3 linked regions of the Caenorhabditis elegans genome follow. The protein of the gene in region 1 purifies or fractionates together with the protein of each later gene. This does not show direct contact. Each region holds a gene or a part of one and is shown in the gene's direction. Other genes may lie near its edges.

Region 1 (4,110 bases):
ACTTTGTTGGGGGACTAGAATCTCGTAAAATTTGTGGGATAAAACCGAATTATTAAAATTTAAAGAAAGACGAACATTTGTGATCTTGAAAACGAAACTAAAATCTACAAAAAATATAAAACGAAAAGAAGAAAAGTGTTTCAAAAAAAGTCTACTTCCGAATAAGATGAAAATCGAATTTAAAGAAATGTCTCCTAAATATCATAGAAAATTTAAGAATCCGTCAAGCTAGTTCTAGTTTTATTATTCGCTAAAATCTTATCAGGCATCCATTCAGGTTGCTTTGCGGTTAACGAAACTCCATCAGCTGTCAATTTTTGAGATTTGAATGAAGAAAGTTGAAGAATTCCCAGGCAACGAGTTGTGTCAGAAGAGATAATCTGAAGATTTTTTAATTGAACAGAAACTATTGTTTTTCAATTTTTGACAGTGAATTGACTCCAGATAATTCCAACGTTTAGATGAATTTTTTATCACTATAACTTTTAAACACACCTTTCCGACTTTATTTTTCTTCTCGTCCAGAACTTCTGCTCCAATTTTGACTTGACCTTCACATTCAAATGGTAAGATTCGTCGACGGATAACACCTGTCAAAATTTAATTTTTCAAAATCAAATTGAACTAGTTTTGTGGGTTTTACAAAAATTTAATTGACAAGTTACTAAATAAAAAGGAAAGTGAGATTTCACGTCTCCAAATATCTAAATTTAGTTGAAGTAACCTGTATGAGCAGTTCTTGCAGTTAATTCCTGTCCAACATAACATCCTTTATCAAGTGAAACCATATTGAGCAGATCACCGTTTGCCTTAAAAAATAATATTTGAAAATGAACTTTTAGAAATATTTCATTTAAATTGCTTCTGTTGTATTTTTACCTGAAAAGGAAGCAACTCCGCCAATTCTTGAGATCCTTCTGCAATTCCAGCAGATCGTCGCAAATTTTCATATTTTTCTCGATTTTCGCTAACTTCCGATGAAGACGGATTACCGAAAACGCGAGCTCCAAAACCAGAAAATCGAGGATCGCGGTGAGCTAAAATAAAATGTTATTAAAGTTTTGACGTTCATTTTCTACCTTGTTTGTCCGATACATCTTCTGTGAAAAATATTTGATCGGAAGATTCGGTGATTTCAACTTGTTTCCTCAATCGATATTTCAAGATTTCTTTTGTTAAAATAGTTTTATTTTCTTTAGAACATTCCAAGAACAAATCATCAGTTCCTCGTCTCCATAGAAGAACATCTTCAACAATTCTCCCTTTTGTGTTGAGCAAAAAAGCAGCAAGTCCATTTTGAGTTTGAAGTTTTCTGCAAAATAAGATGTAATCATTTTCGCTGTAATTTTTAGAGTATAAAAACATACGTCACATCATTTGTAATTAAACCTTGAAGAAACGCGTTTGTGTCAGAGCCATGAAGTTTCAAAAGAACTCTATGAGGCAATTTAATTAATCTTTGTGTTGACATCTGTAAAAAAGTTTGATAATCACAAGAAAACATATTAAAATATGTTAGAGTAAATTTCGCAACGGGGATGATCATATGGCCGTGCCGAATAATTTCGTCCGCGGCCGCAAGTAGAGCGAGGAAATTTGAAAAAGAAAACAAGCGCTTGGATTAGCAGCAAACTATTTAGGATGAAGCACCAAGTACGTCGCATTGAAAGCTGGGAATAATTATAATTTGCCTAAGCTTGGGACAAACTACACTCAAAATAAAAAAACTGCGTGGCGTGTACTGCAGAAAACCTCATATTTAGGCCCCGCCTTTTTCTCGTCCACTCACGGAGTGGAGGCAAAAATTTGGGGACCAACCAATATCATGCCGCCGACATCCTACGGGTTCCGCGCGCCGCTATGTTTAACTCGCAGCGGGCGGAGACAGCTCGCCACGCCCACAGCGAGTTAATCCTAGCGGCGCGCGGAACCCGTAGGATGTCGGCGGCCTGATATTGGTTGGTCCCCAAATTTTTGCCTTTTGTCCGTGAGTGGACGAGAAAAAGGCGGGGCCTAAAAATGAGGTTTTCTGCAGTACAGGCCACGCAGTTTTTTTATTTTGAGTGTAGGTTGTTGCTTAAATTTAATAAAATTAATTTGAATTAAAAATTGTCGAAGCGAATACATATTTAAAAAATGAATATTTTGTGTGTTTAATGAGTGAATAAAAATAAAACTGTTCATGAAAACATACGGTTTAAAGGCTCACGTTGTTCTTAAGTCATGTGGGTCTCGCAACGATCGCAAACACGCTACGGTTTTTTGTTAATTTTAAATATTTTTATTTTCTATTGTGAATTGGCCATTTCAATATCTCCAATTTCAGAGATAAATGAATTTCGAAAAGCTTGTCAGTCAGGCAGTAAATGGTGACCGATTCAAAATTTTCTGCGGGCAGCTCACTGAGTTCACCAACTCGCTCGCTGGGGAAAGAGGTATGTTTTGAGGCAAACATCAATGAAATATGAATTTAAAAATACATTTTCAGAGGCCATAGAAAAAGGAATGAGGCAAATCGAAACTCAACAGCTTGAAGGTTTGACAGATTGAAAAAGGCTCAACTTTAAAATTTTCTTCAGCCGAAACTTCATTCACCGAGCGAATTGCTGAAGACAGGGTTAAATGTGCTGCTCAACGAGAAAGTCTAGAAAGACAGCTTCAGGATTTGACAGCAACTGACAATAAACTGTCTGAACAGAAAAGAGACTGGGAAGAGAGACAAGAAAAAGCCTATGATGAACTAATGTCTTATTTGGAAAACGAGGATGTGGACAGTGCGGGTACACAGTTCGGAGATCACTTCAATTCATTAATTAAATCGATGAACAACTTGGTAAGTCTGCTCGATAACTTTATAATTTTTAAAAAGAGTGGGTTTCTGAATGTTATATTTTCAGTCACATGATTCGATGAATGGTCAATTCAATTCACTCAAAAACAATCTGGATGAATTAAACATTGAAAGTAAGTTGAAAAAAAATTTTGATGGTATTATCAACTAAACTTGCAGAGAAACAACTAGAAGTCGCCATCGCTGATCAATCATCGACTATTTCTGAAATGATTCCTTCTCTCCGTCCAACATGTGGAGCGACCTACAAAGAGCGCAACACTCTTCGCATTATTTTCCATTATCAAGTTGCCAAACTGCGCAGTGAGTACCAAAAATGTCGTCTACAAGAAGAAGCTCTGAAAGCCCGACTTTCTACATGAATTAAAAGAATCAGAACAGCCAAAATGTGGGCAACTGTTAATCGAACTGTAATGATATTAAAAATTGAATAATCTTTTTTCAAATCGTTCTGTTATCCTAAACTTTCATCATGTCGAATGCTTATCATGTAATATTTAATTTTATTGCATCAACCGTTGTGAAGTTTTAATAAATTATAGTCCTGGATTTCTCGGCCTTCTTGAATTATTGGCCCGAGCGATAGCTTCCGCAAATGTTTTCGGAGGTCCTTCCGGCCAATTGTCCAAGTCCATATCCATAAAATCGCATGTATTCGTTCGAAATACAACTCCAGGCGGTAGAGGGTCTTCTTGAAGTTGTGAAATGGGTGTTCCTTGGATAGTAGATTGAGTCCTAAAGTAAGATGTTCCTATTAATTAAAATTCACAATTTTGGGAATATGAATAACTTTCCCTTTTTCGAAAGTCGTGCTTCAATAATGAGACTAACTTACTTTTCTACTGTGTGGTCCTCTTCTGATCGTTTTCCTGCATTTTCCAAAGATGCCAGCTCAATGATAGAATACTTTTTAGTACACGGCGTAATCGTTTTAAAGTGAAAATGACTGAGAAATTTAAGAATTTCACTTCTTGAAGAGTGGTCGGAATATGGAATTCTAATGATTCCCTCGTCGTCGTTGACACCATTTCCAAACGTATAATAGAGCATCGATATGTCGATTATCACCGAATTTTGAGATATTTCACAACTAAAATAAAGGATTATTTGATGTGTTTAAAAATGGAAAGCCGTACTAGCTTCCTTTTTTGATAACTTTAATATCTCGATACTGTTTCAAAACTCCACAGTTTGATGAAAAGTCTAATAAATCTGAAATAACTTTTCTTTCATCATAAACCATAATGGGTTCATTCAAT
Region 2 (5,568 bases), on another chromosome or scaffold:
CCAATTGGTTTAGCTCCTCGAAAAACTCCGTCCGCCGTAACCAAAACTCTGCAGCGAGCGTCGACAACACGAGCGGCAAGTGATTCGGCAGAGAAACCAGCGAAAACAACAGAATGCATTGCTCCGATACGGGCACACGCAAGCATTGCAACTGCTAATTCGGGAATCATTGGAAGATATAAAGCAACCACATCGCCTCGTTTGACGCCATGAGATCTCAGAACAGCGGAGAATTGGACTACTTGGGCGTGTAGCTCGTTGTATGTCCAGGTGGAGGTGTCGGTTGGCTCGTTTCCTTCGAAAATGTAGGCGATTTTGTTTCCATATCCACGTTTAATGTTTCTTTCCAAACAGTTGTACGAGATGTTAGTCTTGGCTCCATCCATAAACTTGACGAAGACATTTCCAGCTTTCGAGTCGAAATTCCATTCGAGACCCTTAGAGGTTCCTTGTTCGAAATGGAGTTCAGATGAGACGGTACGCCAGAACTCGTCAGCATCGTTGATCGAGGAACGGTACAAATCGTGGTAAGATTGAAGGCCAGCACAGTGAGCACCGGCAAGGAGTGGGGCTGGAGGGAGGAAAATCTGAAATCTATTGGTTTTAAAAGTATTCTTTCGAAGAAATAAATTCTTACATCCTCGTCGAGACCTTCTCCATCGTTGGCTAGGTTGAACTTGACGCGAACGTCCGACATGATGAGATGCAATAACCTGAAAATGAGGCACTTTATGATAAGAAAATGCGGTAAAACATGCGAAATATGGCACCATAAACCGTGAGCAGGACAAAGAACAAACACTTGGAAAAGAAAAGAAAATAGAAAGAAAAAAAGGAAAACTGGAGAAAACAAACTCAATAACACAACGCGAGAAATACAATTTCGTTTCGTTTTTTCTTCTATTTATTAGATTTCTCACAATTTGTTACCAGTAAAGTCACGTTCTATATTTCAAACTACTCCTAAAATTCGGTTTGAACAGTTCTCTGATAAACGAATTTCGAAGAACGATCAGAAAACAAATCTACGGTTGTGTGTGATCAATGGGGTCAAACGGTGGACGAAAGGGGACGGCGGAGAGAGGAAAAAGTGAGAGAAAATAAATAAAATTGACCTTCGAGTGCAGAGTTTTGCTGGTATTTTGGTCAGAATTGATTATGAAAATCTGAAAATTACCGCCGGGAAAGTTGAAAATTTGACGTGGAAACGTTTAAAAAAATAAGATGAGAAAGTTAGTACTGTAGATGTCGTCGGATCAAGTGCACAGTACGCAAGCACCGTTACGAAAAATTGCACTAATTGCTCAATTAAATTTTTTTAAAAAATTAATTTTTATAGTGTGTTTTGTGTTTTTTTTCTGCTTTTTTAATGATTTTTAAAGGCTTGATTATGTTTTTTTCTCAAAATTTGAATAATCAATAACATTAATTAATTACTTTATTAAAAAACCACATTTGGCATTTTAATAAAGCAAGTTATCGCGACAAACGGCAAAAATGTCTCTTTTTATAAAAATTGTTTTTTTTTGAGTTAAGAGAAGATGTGGAGTTTTTTGAACTACATTAGTTTTCTAAAAATTTTATCATCTAGATTTTGAGGAAAAAAGCAGATTATATATCTTTAATCTTGGTTTTAAAATTTTTTTAAAAAGCAGAATATTAAAGTAAAATATTATAAAAAGAAAAATTCGTGTTTGCAAAATTTGTTTGAACGGAACCTTGCAAAAATGATATTTAGCAGCTAAACTAACTGAAAACTACTGCATAAAGCTTTCCCAAAAAGAGCTACCATCCAGAAAATGTTTTTTTTTTCAAAGCCGAAAAAGAAGAAAAAAAGATAGAAAACCGAAAAAGCAGCATCGTTTTCGCGCACTCTTTCTTCTTTTTTTCTTTCTTTTTCTAAAAAAAAATATTCTCCGTAGCTTGAAGTCTCAGGATTTCCAAAGGGAATTTCCTTGATAGAATATGGAAAAACAAGAGAGTCATCAGAGAAGGGAGAGGAAAAGCGGGGATGCTGGCGAAGACCGGGGGCACCGACTGAAATATAGGCACCGGCGGGGAGGCGGGGCGCTCTCTCCTCTCCGCTTTACTCCGCCCCGATTGTCAGTGGAGCAGGTTTGCAATGAGTGTTCTCTGATGCCCCCTCAGCGCGGGAGTTTTGAAATCAAATATTTTGTATTTTAACCTACTTTATTGATTTTTCAATTAAAATGAAATGTTATTTGTTTAAAATTTAATTTCAGATGGCAGATGTTGCACTGAGGATCACAGAAACAGTGGCACGACTGCAAAAAGAACTGAAATGTGGAATTTGGTAATTTATTTTCAAAAAATCAACAAAAAAACCTTAAATTGGTTTTTTTTCAGCTGTTCAACATACAAAGATCCAATTCTGTCCACATGTTTCCATATTTTCTGTCGTTCTTGCATTAACGCTTGCTTCGAACGAAAACGAAAAGTTCAATGCCCAATTTGTAGAAGTGTACTGGATAAGCGAAGTTGTCGAGATACTTATCAAATTACAATGGCTGTGCAGAACTATTTAAAGCTATCAGAAGCATTTAAAAAAGATATTGAGAATATGAATACGTTCAAGTCACTGCCGCCAGAGAAAATGTTCATGGAAAGTCAAATGCCGCTGGATATCACGATTATTCCAGAGAATGATGGAAAACGATGCGCTCCAGATTTTGCTATACCTTTTTTGCCAGTGGTATGCTTTTTGGCACAAAAAACCAATTAAAACCAAAAGAAAATCACTAAAAATATTTCTAAAATGTCAAATAAAAACATTTTTCACCTTTTTTTGTGTCGTATAGCGATTAAATCAATTTTTAATAATTTTATTACACACTTTTTTCATCGATTTGCTAATTTCTGACTGAAAATCATAGCGGACTGCGAAAAAATTTCGTCAAAAACACGAAAAAAGCAGAAAAGAAATATTTTTTACTTTTTTTTTGTTTGGAAAACTGGACTCTATAGTTACATTTTCTAGTGTATTTTTTTGGGAAAAAAAATTAAAAATGCAATACAAATTGCTAATTAGCTAAATAGTTGAAAAATTTTGAGTTTTTGCATAATTTAGTCCGTTTTTCGAAGTTATCATTAAAAAATTCGGCCTTTTTGGGCTATTTTGACTCTATTAACATTAAATCTGTATTTTCAGCGCCGAAAGCGACCGAGTCGACCACAACCGCCGAGCGCATTCGCCGAGGAGCCTGCAGAACCGGTAGAACCGCCAGAACCAGCCACAAAACAACCTGTAGAGCTCCAAAGTCGAGTATTCCCGCTGGAAAAATTGAAAAAAGACGTGGAAACCTCTACAGAAACGTATAAAATATCAAGAGAAGAACTGAAAAATGTTGATATTGAAGAATACATAAATACCCTCCGAGGTTGGTCAAAAATCAAAAAAAAATTCGCTAATTTTTGCCAATTTTCCAGAAAATTCGACAGAGATTGATGAAATCGATGCACTTTTCCAATTAATGCCGACGATGCGACAATTTCTTCGAAATGTTTGTGATGATTCGGGCTTATTTAGAGGAAAATAATTTTTGAAATAAAATATTTTTTGCAGAATATCAATCAGCTAATGGAGAAATTCCATGTGGCGCCACCGAAAAAATCAGAGAAACCAGCGAATCGAAGAGTATCCTTTGCGAGTTCTCAAGATCTTGAAAACATAAAAATTATGACAGCTTCTGAATCGCTGGAAACTCCTCCTGAGCCAATCCAAAAACTAGCCCAAAAGCCTGAAGTTTTCAAAAGTACTCAAAATTTGATCGATTTGAATCTAAATACTGCAGTGAAAAAGCCAGTGGTCGTAGCATCAGATGATGATGAAGTTGTAGAAGATTCTGAAGGAGAACTACAAATTGATGAAGATGATCTGGCAAATGTTACCTGTGCTACAAGTGTAAGAAATATAGGAAAATCATTGTGTGCAGAATATATCAGGGGTGTGCGGCAAATTTGCCGAATTTGTCGTTTGCCGAGCTCGGCAAATTTCAAAAAAGTTGATTTGCCGAATTTGCCGAGCTCGGCAAATTTCGAAATTTGCCGCACACGTCAAAAATTTGACAGTACAATTTCGACTAAAACTACTGATTTTTTCGCCAAAAATTCAGTAAAATGACACAAAATTGAGTTATTTTGATGCTTAAGCAGACATACTACACGGAACTGATTCCGAAGCCAGATGTGTGTTAAGAATTCGGTAGTTTTGGTGGTCCAAAAACATCAAAAAATATCAAAAATTTCCGAGTTTGTTAAGCACGGCAAATTTGCCGAATTTGCCGAATTAGCCGAGCTCGGCAAATTTGCCGAATTTGCCGTGCTCGGCAAATATTGAACAAAGAGATTTGCCGAATTTGCCGAGCTCGGCAAATTTTGCGATTTGCCGCACACCCCTGGAATATATGGTTTTCAACAGAAAAATTCAATTTTAATTTTAAAAAAAGTTGAATTGTTTTATAAAAAAGTGCTGAACCCGAAAAAAAAACATAATTTTGAGAAAATGCAAATATTTTTTCATTCAAAATTTCCATTTTTGTTATAATTTCGAGCATAACTTTAAAGAAAAAATTTGAAAATAAATTTTTAAGCAATTTTTTTTTAAATATCAGGTTGTCCCATAAGTTTTTGTACTTTTTTTCAAATATTTTTCCAAAACTTCTAGAAAGTTTTAAAATTTTTTCATCGTAGGTCGTGTCAAGGTCGGGTCGTCCCCTTTCAGAAAAGATTCATTTCATCCATTTCTACTTTGCCACGATGACAATCATCAAACTTGAACGTCGAGACGTTAGATTGCTTCTTCTTTATGAATTTCGTCTTGGTCATTCAGCAATGGAAGCGGAACGAAACATATGCGGTGCGATGGGTGAGGGAGCACTCTCTTATAATACAGCAAAGAGTTGGTTTCAAAAGTTCAAGAACGGCGACTTCAGTCTCGAAGAAATAGAACGTTCTGGGCGACCGGTAGAGTTAAATGAAGAAGACCTAGTGAAGCTGGTGGAGGAAGAGCCTCGTCTTAGTCTTCGTGAAATGGAAGAGAAGCTTGAGTGTTGTCATAGCACAATTGCACGTCACTTGGGTCGCCTTGGTTTTACTTCAAAACTTGGAATTTGGGTGCCTCATGAACTTTCGGCATCACAGAAGCTCACTCGGGTCAACGTTTGTACTCAACTTCTAACTTTTCGTCGAAAGTTCGATTGGCTGAACAATCTGGTTACTGGAGATGAGAAGTGGGTGCTCTATGTTAACCATTCCAGAAAACGTCAATGGCTTCCGATCGGTGAGAAAGGAATACCGACGCCAAAGCCTGATCTTCACCCAAAAAAGATTATGATCTGTGTCTGGTGGGGTGTTCAAGGACCCGTGCACTGGGAATTGTTGCCAACTAATAAAACTATCACTGCTGATTACTATTGTGCCCAATTGGACCGAGTTGCAGAAAAGACCAACGGAAAATATGAAAAACTATATTTTCTTCACGATAATGCTAGGCCTCATGTCGCCAAGAAGACTTTCCAAAAGCTGCAAGATCTTGGTTGGACTGTTTTA
Region 3 (7,304 bases), on another chromosome or scaffold:
TTTCAGAAATGTTGTAAACGATTTCTGAATTAATTCTTCATAATTTACCAGCATACATTTTTAAGATACAAGAAATTAAATATTGTTCCAACACTTTTTTTACAGGCGGTGATCCATTTTCTGATGCTGTCTGGCTTCCTGTACTCGATTTATGTTCTATCGAGTGTGAAATAACATCCGAATATTGTGTGGAAAATGAGGAACTTACACAACAATGCAAGAAATGTATGTTTTCGATGTTTAGAAGAAAGCTTGAGTTTTAAAAAATCTTTTTTCAGTACCGGAAGATTGCCAGGCTCTTCTCCGAAAAGCAATCAAACAAATTCAGAGACATATTCGATCACAAAAGCCAGTTTACCTTTAGATAATTTCTATCTCACTAATTTTTGTAAATTTGAACAATAAAGACTCTTGAATATTACCTTTTTACTCATCAATCTGAATTGTCCTTTTCCACGTGTAGCGGTCTCCATTCGATTCAAAACTTCTTTAGTAAATACTACAACAATTGATTTCACATCGCCTCCAAAATCAAAGAATTGAGTGACAATCGTGAGAATTCTATCGAAAACTTTCGTCTCGTTGCTTGAAAGGGCCCATGGCTCGAGAACTTCTGAAAATGAGAATTTATAAAAAAAACTTTTCAAAAGTATAACTTACTCAGGTACATTTTATCAAAACCAGATGATTCAACTGATGCTTTGATGAGAAGTGGAAGAAATACTTGAACTGTGGCGAAGTCACAGCGCTGAAAATAAAGTATTTATAAAAATTTTAAAATAGAAAACTAACCTTTAAAGCAGCCAAAATTTTAGGATACTGATCATCAGAAAATTGAATAGATCCGTCTTTCTTTACAAACTTTGCGTATTTTGCAACCACTGTTGAATGAGAATTACGAAGGCGAAGTGCCAGGTAGACATTTTCCGGTGTGAACTGAGAGCTGAGACCTTCCAAATTCATTTCGATGGCTGGGGATACACTCTGAAATTTAAAAATTAATATAGATTTGTTTTTGTTCAAACAGTAAATTGATTTACCTTTTGGAAAACACTTTCTTTTGTCTTTGTAGCCAAACTGCATAGAAGGTTAATCTGTGAAAATGCCAAGCTTGGAGCAAAGTCTCTGATTTTCTTCGAATGCTCAACAATTTTTGTAGCTTCTGCTTCTTTGAGTTTTCTGGTTTGACAATATGTGACAAGAATAAGATAATGTCCAATTGCATGTCCGGTACCAACAGTCTGAATCGAAACATTTAGTACAAATAAAGGAACTTACAATCCCAACCTTTTCTGCCAGGTCCATCTTTTTATCTGCAACGGCCAATATTTTGTCGAGTTCCCATGATTCGCCTGCTTTTGTCATTAAAATAGTACCCAAAGCGGTTGTATATCCCAAACGAACAGCAGCACGAGCTGAAGCACATCCAGAAATAAGACGTTCAATCACATATGTGTTGAGCTCGTTATCGGATAATTCCTAAAAAAATAACACTTTAATTAGGCATTTATTTCAGCTACTTTTTTCCTACCTCTTGTTTGCTTGAAAGCTGTCTAACTGCTCCTTTTCTGACTAATGGATCGAGCTCAGCAAGCTTTGAAATAATATCGAGTAATTCACTTGGCGGTCTCATGCTTAAAACTTAAAATTATAATTAAAAAGAGAATAAATTGACGAGAGGATCATTCTCGTGAATTTTCCAGACCAAGTAAACTGTATTTTTCTATAAAACACAAAAAATAAATGTAATTTTAGTTTAATGAAAGAAAAAGAAATAGAAGTAAAATATTTTGTTCGTAAAATAAAATGTATTCTGTGCGCACGCACCACACCTGACGCGCAAACAAACAAGTGCGATTTTCGAATTTTATTCTTTTCCTGTTTGATTTAATTATTGTTTCAGCGTCAAATAATGTTTGAAAACACTAAAAAAGCATTGGAAACGTTTCGAACAGCTATCGAGTGTGTTAAATGGTAAGTTGTTGTACAAGATTTTGCCTCTTAAATAAAATTTCAGCAAAAAACCGAGGGGAGACTTGCAATATCTCGGATCATCTTGCAAACATGCTTATTGCTGGTAGGTATTGCAACCTAATAAATTGTCAATAACTTCAGTTTATGTTCAGGGAATGTATCGCCACATTTCAACAGAAACCGTCTGGAAAACGCTCTTCAGTGGCTCGACACATGTGTCCGAGTTGTGCTTTCCCACTAGACACATCCAAAATCACAGAAGCTCATATGCTGAAAACGTGCTTTGATACTTTGTCTGAACTAAACGACCTTTTACAGAAAGTAAGTCAATGGTGAAAAGCTCGAAAATTAAATTCTCATTTAGGTCGGAACAACATCTCTAACTCAAGCAGAGTTTGCCTGTACACAAAACATTTTTAACAAAGAAAAAACTCCAGCTGATGCCGTAGAGAAATTCCTGGAGACGCAAGCTCATATGCCAGACGAGATGGGACAACTTGGTGAAGAGGATGATGATTTGATGTGTAAAGATGAAAACCGGTAAGTCGAAAAAATCTGCGTTCGGGGGGAATCGAACCCCCGTCGAATGCTTGGAAGGCATCCATGCTGACCATTACACCACGAACGCGACATATCGGGGATATCTTTCCGAGAAAACGATTCCCGTCATGCTTCTTCTACAAACCTGATGCGGTCTATTTGGTGGCTTCAAGTAGAAATGTCTCTTCATTTAATAGCTGGTTTCCCATGCCGCGTTCGTGGTGTAATGGTCAGCATGGATGCCTTCCAAGCATTCGACGGGGGTTCGATTCCCCCCGAACGCAGAACTTTTTTTCATATTTTCCCAGTAAATTCAGGGAAAATTCAAACTCTCCAGAATTGGATATATTCCACGACTACAGCAAAGAAGCTTCTCCGTGAGTTTGTTACATTGCTTCAATTAATTGAATTTTATTTACTTTTAGAACGCGTAATTCGACAAAACGCCCTTCAACTGTCAGTGTTCATGAGAGAAAACCCAAAAGGTCATCGATACTGAAAACTTCCGTCAAAAATGAACCGGCTGCGCCTGTAGTTGATCTTTTTGCATCGCAAGTTCCGCAGAGAACTCATCAAAATGATTTACTGACGCCGTTTATTGAGGTATGACAATTTCACTTTAAAGACGCTTCAGAACTTTAACGGAAATTCTTCAGCGTCGCTCAACTGCTCCAGCAGCAACTGGTGTTGCAACGTATGCTCAAGCTTTCGGAAGTAGCAGTAATCCAGTTAAAGCCGAAATTATCGAAGAAGATATTTTCTCGAAAGCGATTCCTCTCACAAAACGGCAAGCTTCAATGAGTGCGAGCGCCAAGAAACAACCAAAATTGGAACCTGAAGAACCAGAAGAAGTACCATCGACGTCTAGAAGTCGTAAAAATTCGATTAAATCCGATAAAATCGAACGACGATCTCAATCACCGATGAGTTTTGGAGAGAAGTCGATGAGTGTGAAATCAGAGCAAGTGAGTGACTTCAATAAAAGAGTTTTCGGGCGTTCGTCTTTCTACTCTGTCACGCTCAACGTCCACATTATCTTGTTGTCTGCGCCTCTGTCCCTTACTTAACAAGTCTTTGCATCACAGCACGCATGGCCTCCTTAGCTCAGTTGGTAGAGCGTGAGACTTTTAATCTTAAGGTCAGGGGTTCGAGTCCCCTAGGTGGCTTGACTTTTTTTTTTGAAAATTGAACTTGATCTCTACGCCTTCATTCCAATTTTCACATTTTCGCAAACTTTTTGCAATTTTTTAAATGTTCAGCGTCGCAGTTCTTATGGTACTCGTCGTGGTGAAGCTGTCCTGGTCAATTCAATTCGCAATAATCGTATTCCTCAACTTCGAAGTGCTGTAGAGGCAGGAACGTGCGTAAATGAGAAAGAAGACGGAAAGACACCACTTTACGTGGCAGTTGAGAATAGCTCATTGGAAGCTGTTAAGATACTTGTTGAAGCGGGTGCAGTTATTAATGCTTCATGTAAGAAACAACTTCTATCAACTTTCTTGACGAAGAATTCAGGCGGCTCAACATTAGAAACAACGCTTCACGAGGCTGTTCGCCGTCAAAATACTCAAATTGTTGAATATCTTTTATCGAAAGGTGCCAGCATCAAAATTCGAAATATTGCTGGAAAAACTGTCGAAGAAATGGCTAAAAGTGATCCGAAAATTAGGAAAATAATCGAAAAATTCAAGACTGAACAGAGAGTTTTACAGCCTGGTAAGAAATTTTTTGACAATTTTATTCTTCGTGATAAAAATTGAATTTTCAGTCGTCGCCCCTCCAAAATCTCGTCTTCATTTCGTTCAACTCATAGATGAGAAGATGCTCACTGAATCTGAAAAACGAAAACTTCCCGGAAAAATCAATGTAAAAACAATTAATTTTTAAAAATAAAATAAATTTATTCAGATAGTTCCTGCTGATATGGATTCTCCGACGCATGTGGTAGTCACCGTTGATTTGAAAACTCGTGTGCTCAATATTAACAAGGAGCATATTGGAGAAATTTTAAAAGCTATCATAAAGTAGGTTTTTAAAATTATCCTAAAAAGTGGGAGATAGTCATTTTGGGATTTTTAATGTCAGAAAATAGACCGTAATGACAGACTATAGCTGTTAAGAAATTAATTTTTTCGAAATTTTTCAAAAAATGGGCTACTTATTTTTAAATTCTCGCGCAAATAAATGGAAGGCATTTGTTCGTAAGAAAACGCATGATAATCAGAAAGAAATTCGCTGAAACTTCAAAATTGAATTGAAAGTCGATAATTTCACATTTATTCATCTTTTTTTTTGCTTAAAAAATTTATGAAAATCTGACAATCTTCGGAACATCAAGCAAAAATCACGAAAAGCGTTCGAATTTAGCCATTCATTTGCACGAGAGTTCAAAACTAATCAGAACTTATTATTTTTCCAAAGCTGAAATAATTTTTTAACAGTTATATTCGGTAATTATGGTCTATTTTCTATCATTCCTTCAAATCAGGTCGCAATGCATTACATATTTATTGGAGATAAAAAGATAATTAGGCACGAACACAGGCTCCTGCCACACATTTTTTTCCAACTGGACAGTCAAAAGTACAAGGTTCATCAGCATTTTCGTCAGTGATAACAACTCCACCACTTGCATGATTTGAAAAAAGACATTGTCCATAAACACAAAGCCTATTATCCGAGCAATCCGAATCAGTTCGACATTCTGCTTTCTTTGCATTAACATAAATTGAAAGAAGAAGAAGAAGGAAACACTGCAAAATTAGTTTTGAATATTAGCAAAAGTAGTATATAACTCACCAGAAACACCTTCATTTCAGTTTCACAGTGGCTCGATTGTATTATAAAATGCGTTTCCCTGTCTAGTTATAGACTGATCCCATGGGAAAATTGCAAACAATCGCAAGGGTGCAGTATGAGAGCCAAAAAAATCTATGTGAAAATATGAAATTTCAAAGCGGAAATTCATACTTTCAGATCGGGAATGATAGTTAGTCGAGATTGGCTGAGAGCGTGCATTATTGATCCATCGAAAGTCGATGATGATCGTTCTTATATGGTTCAGAAAGTTAGATGGATGGAAGGTGAAGTATTTGAAAATACTATTGAACAATGGAAGAAGACAATCACTAAAATGGTACGGATTTGATTTCCACTAAAGAAAAAAATACAACCAAATTTTTCAGCAACCAAAATTGTTCGCCGGTTGCAAATTTTTCATTCCAAAGCCAAAGTATAACTTCCTCGGTACGATTCTAATTTACAGTATTTTAATTTTTTCAATTTTCAATTTCAGATCGCCCAGCTCTTTTTGAAATTATTCGATCTGCCGGTGGTCAAGCTGCAGCGAGGGAGCCCATTATTGACGAAAAAGATCCACCGCCGTACCATAATGCCAACTTGAAACCAAACTTTGTGCTCTACAGCTTGACACATGATGTAAGTTTAACGAAGGAGTTTTCCTGTTATTATGGATTCGGTAGTTTCAGTTTGGTGACATTTTTATTTCTCTTTACAGATAGGAGACAAATTCCGCGACTGCACAAAGTACAATCTTGTCAGCGAGCAGTGGTTAATAGAGGCGATTCTTGGATGCTCCATCACAACACCACCACATTAACCATTTTCCGTTTTAAAATATTTTCTTTTGCGTTTCTATTGTAAAATTGCAATATGAATGATTATTTTTTGAAGTGTTATTTTATACACAACGGCATCCAATCCATGCAATTAAAGTTATGATGTAATTAAAATCGAGAACAAGATATAAATATAAGTTATGAGATCATATTAATTAAAAACAATTTACCGGCTTAAAACAAGAAAATTACAATTGAGTTATACAATTTACAATGATACAATTTACATTAAGAAGAATCTACACCATTCGTTTCCTGTACCTTTAATTTTCTTTTTTGATATTTGTTAACGGCAGTGACTGGACGAGTCTCATTATATTTCCGTTGATAAATAAAACAAGCATTACATTGAATTCCTTCCTTTGATCGAATATTCCTCCAACGAATTGTTTCAGTTACTGAACAATTTGAGCATTGAAATGACTTCTTATTATCAGAATTGCTCGGTGGAGTTGAACTTTGAGTAGAGGTAGATGGAGATGTAGATGGAGTAGAAAAATGAGTAAACGTGGTGAAATGGGAAGAATTAGGACTTCCAGTAGTTGGTGAAATATTTAAAGATGAAGAATCCATTGCAGTTGGATAATAAGAAGCATAAGTATTGACATAGTCATAGTAGTTATTATAATAAGAATAGTCAGTAGTGAAGGAGTATGTACCATTGAATGGAGTTGAATAATCATAGAATCCAACTTGTTGCTGGGTATTGTCAAAGACATTTTCAGCATTGAAAACTGGGTACGGATAAGCCATAGTGATAGAGAGAAGGAATAAAGTATGAATACTGACTCAAACTGATATTCTTTGGGCTCTTTTACTGTAGACCACACCCACTAGAAATGATGATAATGCTCTAAAAATCATCATGATGACAGAGGTGCAAGGTGGTCCTTCTTTACCTATTATCAGATAATGTAGGTGAAGATGGGCTCATTGTGCAATAGGTGGAGATGTTAACATTTCTCTAGGAAAGCAGGTGAAATCAGGACATGTTTCAGCCAACGTCTACAATATAAACCTTTTATGTATTTGTTTTCGGGCGGAACACAGCATGGCTTTTACTCGGAGAAAAGGAATCATATCAACGTGCCTCAAGTGTTGCGTGATTACTTGGAAATTGAGAATTGAATGGATAAATAAATTTTCCAAAAC

What was found.
Region 2: the proteins of syp-3 (region 1) and brc-1 purify together in Caenorhabditis elegans (affinity purification with western blotting, with the first as the bait; one study listed by BioGRID). This does not show direct contact.
Region 3: the proteins of syp-3 (region 1) and brd-1 purify together in Caenorhabditis elegans (affinity purification with western blotting, with the first as the bait; one study listed by BioGRID). This does not show direct contact.

Annotation. Positions count from the first base shown.
Region 1 is NC_003279.8:8,662,337-8,666,446, reverse strand, and holds syp-3 (Synaptonemal complex protein 3), read left to right. Parts: upstream 1-2,326; 5' UTR 2,327-2,332; coding exon 2,333-2,435; intron 2,436-2,488; coding exon 2,489-2,536; intron 2,537-2,579; coding exon 2,580-2,833; intron 2,834-2,897; coding exon 2,898-2,964; intron 2,965-3,010; coding exon 3,011-3,213; 3' UTR 3,214-3,387; downstream 3,388-4,110. Other genes in the region: F39H2.3 (Aminomethyltransferase folate-binding domain-containing protein), read right to left, coding at 213-380, 496-590, 725-809, 880-1,037, 1,080-1,312, 1,368-1,471; mrt-1 (5' exonuclease Apollo), read right to left, coding at 3,388-3,586, 3,687-3,941, 3,988-4,110. UniProt on the Caenorhabditis elegans protein: Plays a role in early meiotic events; during prophase I contributes to synaptonemal complex (SC) assembly, synapsis and chiasmata formation and stabilization of homologous chromosomes pairing.
Region 2 is NC_003281.10:3,859,634-3,865,201, reverse strand, and holds the start of brc-1 (Breast cancer type 1 susceptibility protein homolog), read left to right. Parts: upstream 1-2,243; coding exon 2,244-2,314; intron 2,315-2,367; coding exon 2,368-2,713; intron 2,714-3,169; coding exon 3,170-3,398; intron 3,399-3,447; coding exon 3,448-3,521; intron 3,522-3,583; coding exon 3,584-3,922; intron 3,923-5,568. Other genes in the region: acs-19 (Acetyl-coenzyme A synthetase), read right to left, coding at 1-587, 638-697. UniProt on the Caenorhabditis elegans protein: E3 ubiquitin-protein ligase that specifically mediates the formation of polyubiquitin chains and plays a central role in DNA repair.
Region 3 is NC_003281.10:6,884,104-6,891,407, reverse strand, and holds brd-1 (BRCA1-associated RING domain protein 1), read left to right. Parts: upstream 1-1,903; 5' UTR 1,904-1,912; coding exon 1,913-1,974; intron 1,975-2,017; coding exon 2,018-2,077; intron 2,078-2,126; coding exon 2,127-2,295; intron 2,296-2,338; coding exon 2,339-2,514; intron 2,515-2,522; exon of another isoform or gene 2,523-2,605; intron 2,606-2,726; exon of another isoform or gene 2,727-2,817; intron 2,818-2,831; coding exon 2,832-2,891; intron 2,892-2,939; coding exon 2,940-3,117; intron 3,118-3,170; coding exon 3,171-3,479; intron 3,480-3,604; exon of another isoform or gene 3,605-3,692; intron 3,693-3,773; coding exon 3,774-3,987; intron 3,988-4,029; coding exon 4,030-4,230; intron 4,231-4,282; coding exon 4,283-4,380; intron 4,381-4,422; coding exon 4,423-4,538; intron 4,539-5,490; coding exon 5,491-5,650; intron 5,651-5,699; coding exon 5,700-5,760; intron 5,761-5,809; coding exon 5,810-5,952; intron 5,953-6,031; coding exon 6,032-6,133; 3' UTR 6,134-6,201; downstream 6,202-7,304. Other genes in the region: K04C2.5 (INSulin related), read left to right, coding at 106-225, 279-364; K04C2.2 (DNA polymerase V), read right to left, coding at 423-613, 661-748, 793-984, 1,041-1,241, 1,288-1,479, 1,532-1,633; med-2 (GATA-type domain-containing protein), read right to left, coding at 6,381-6,905. UniProt on the Caenorhabditis elegans protein: Constituent of the CeBCD complex that possesses E3 ubiquitin-protein ligase activity.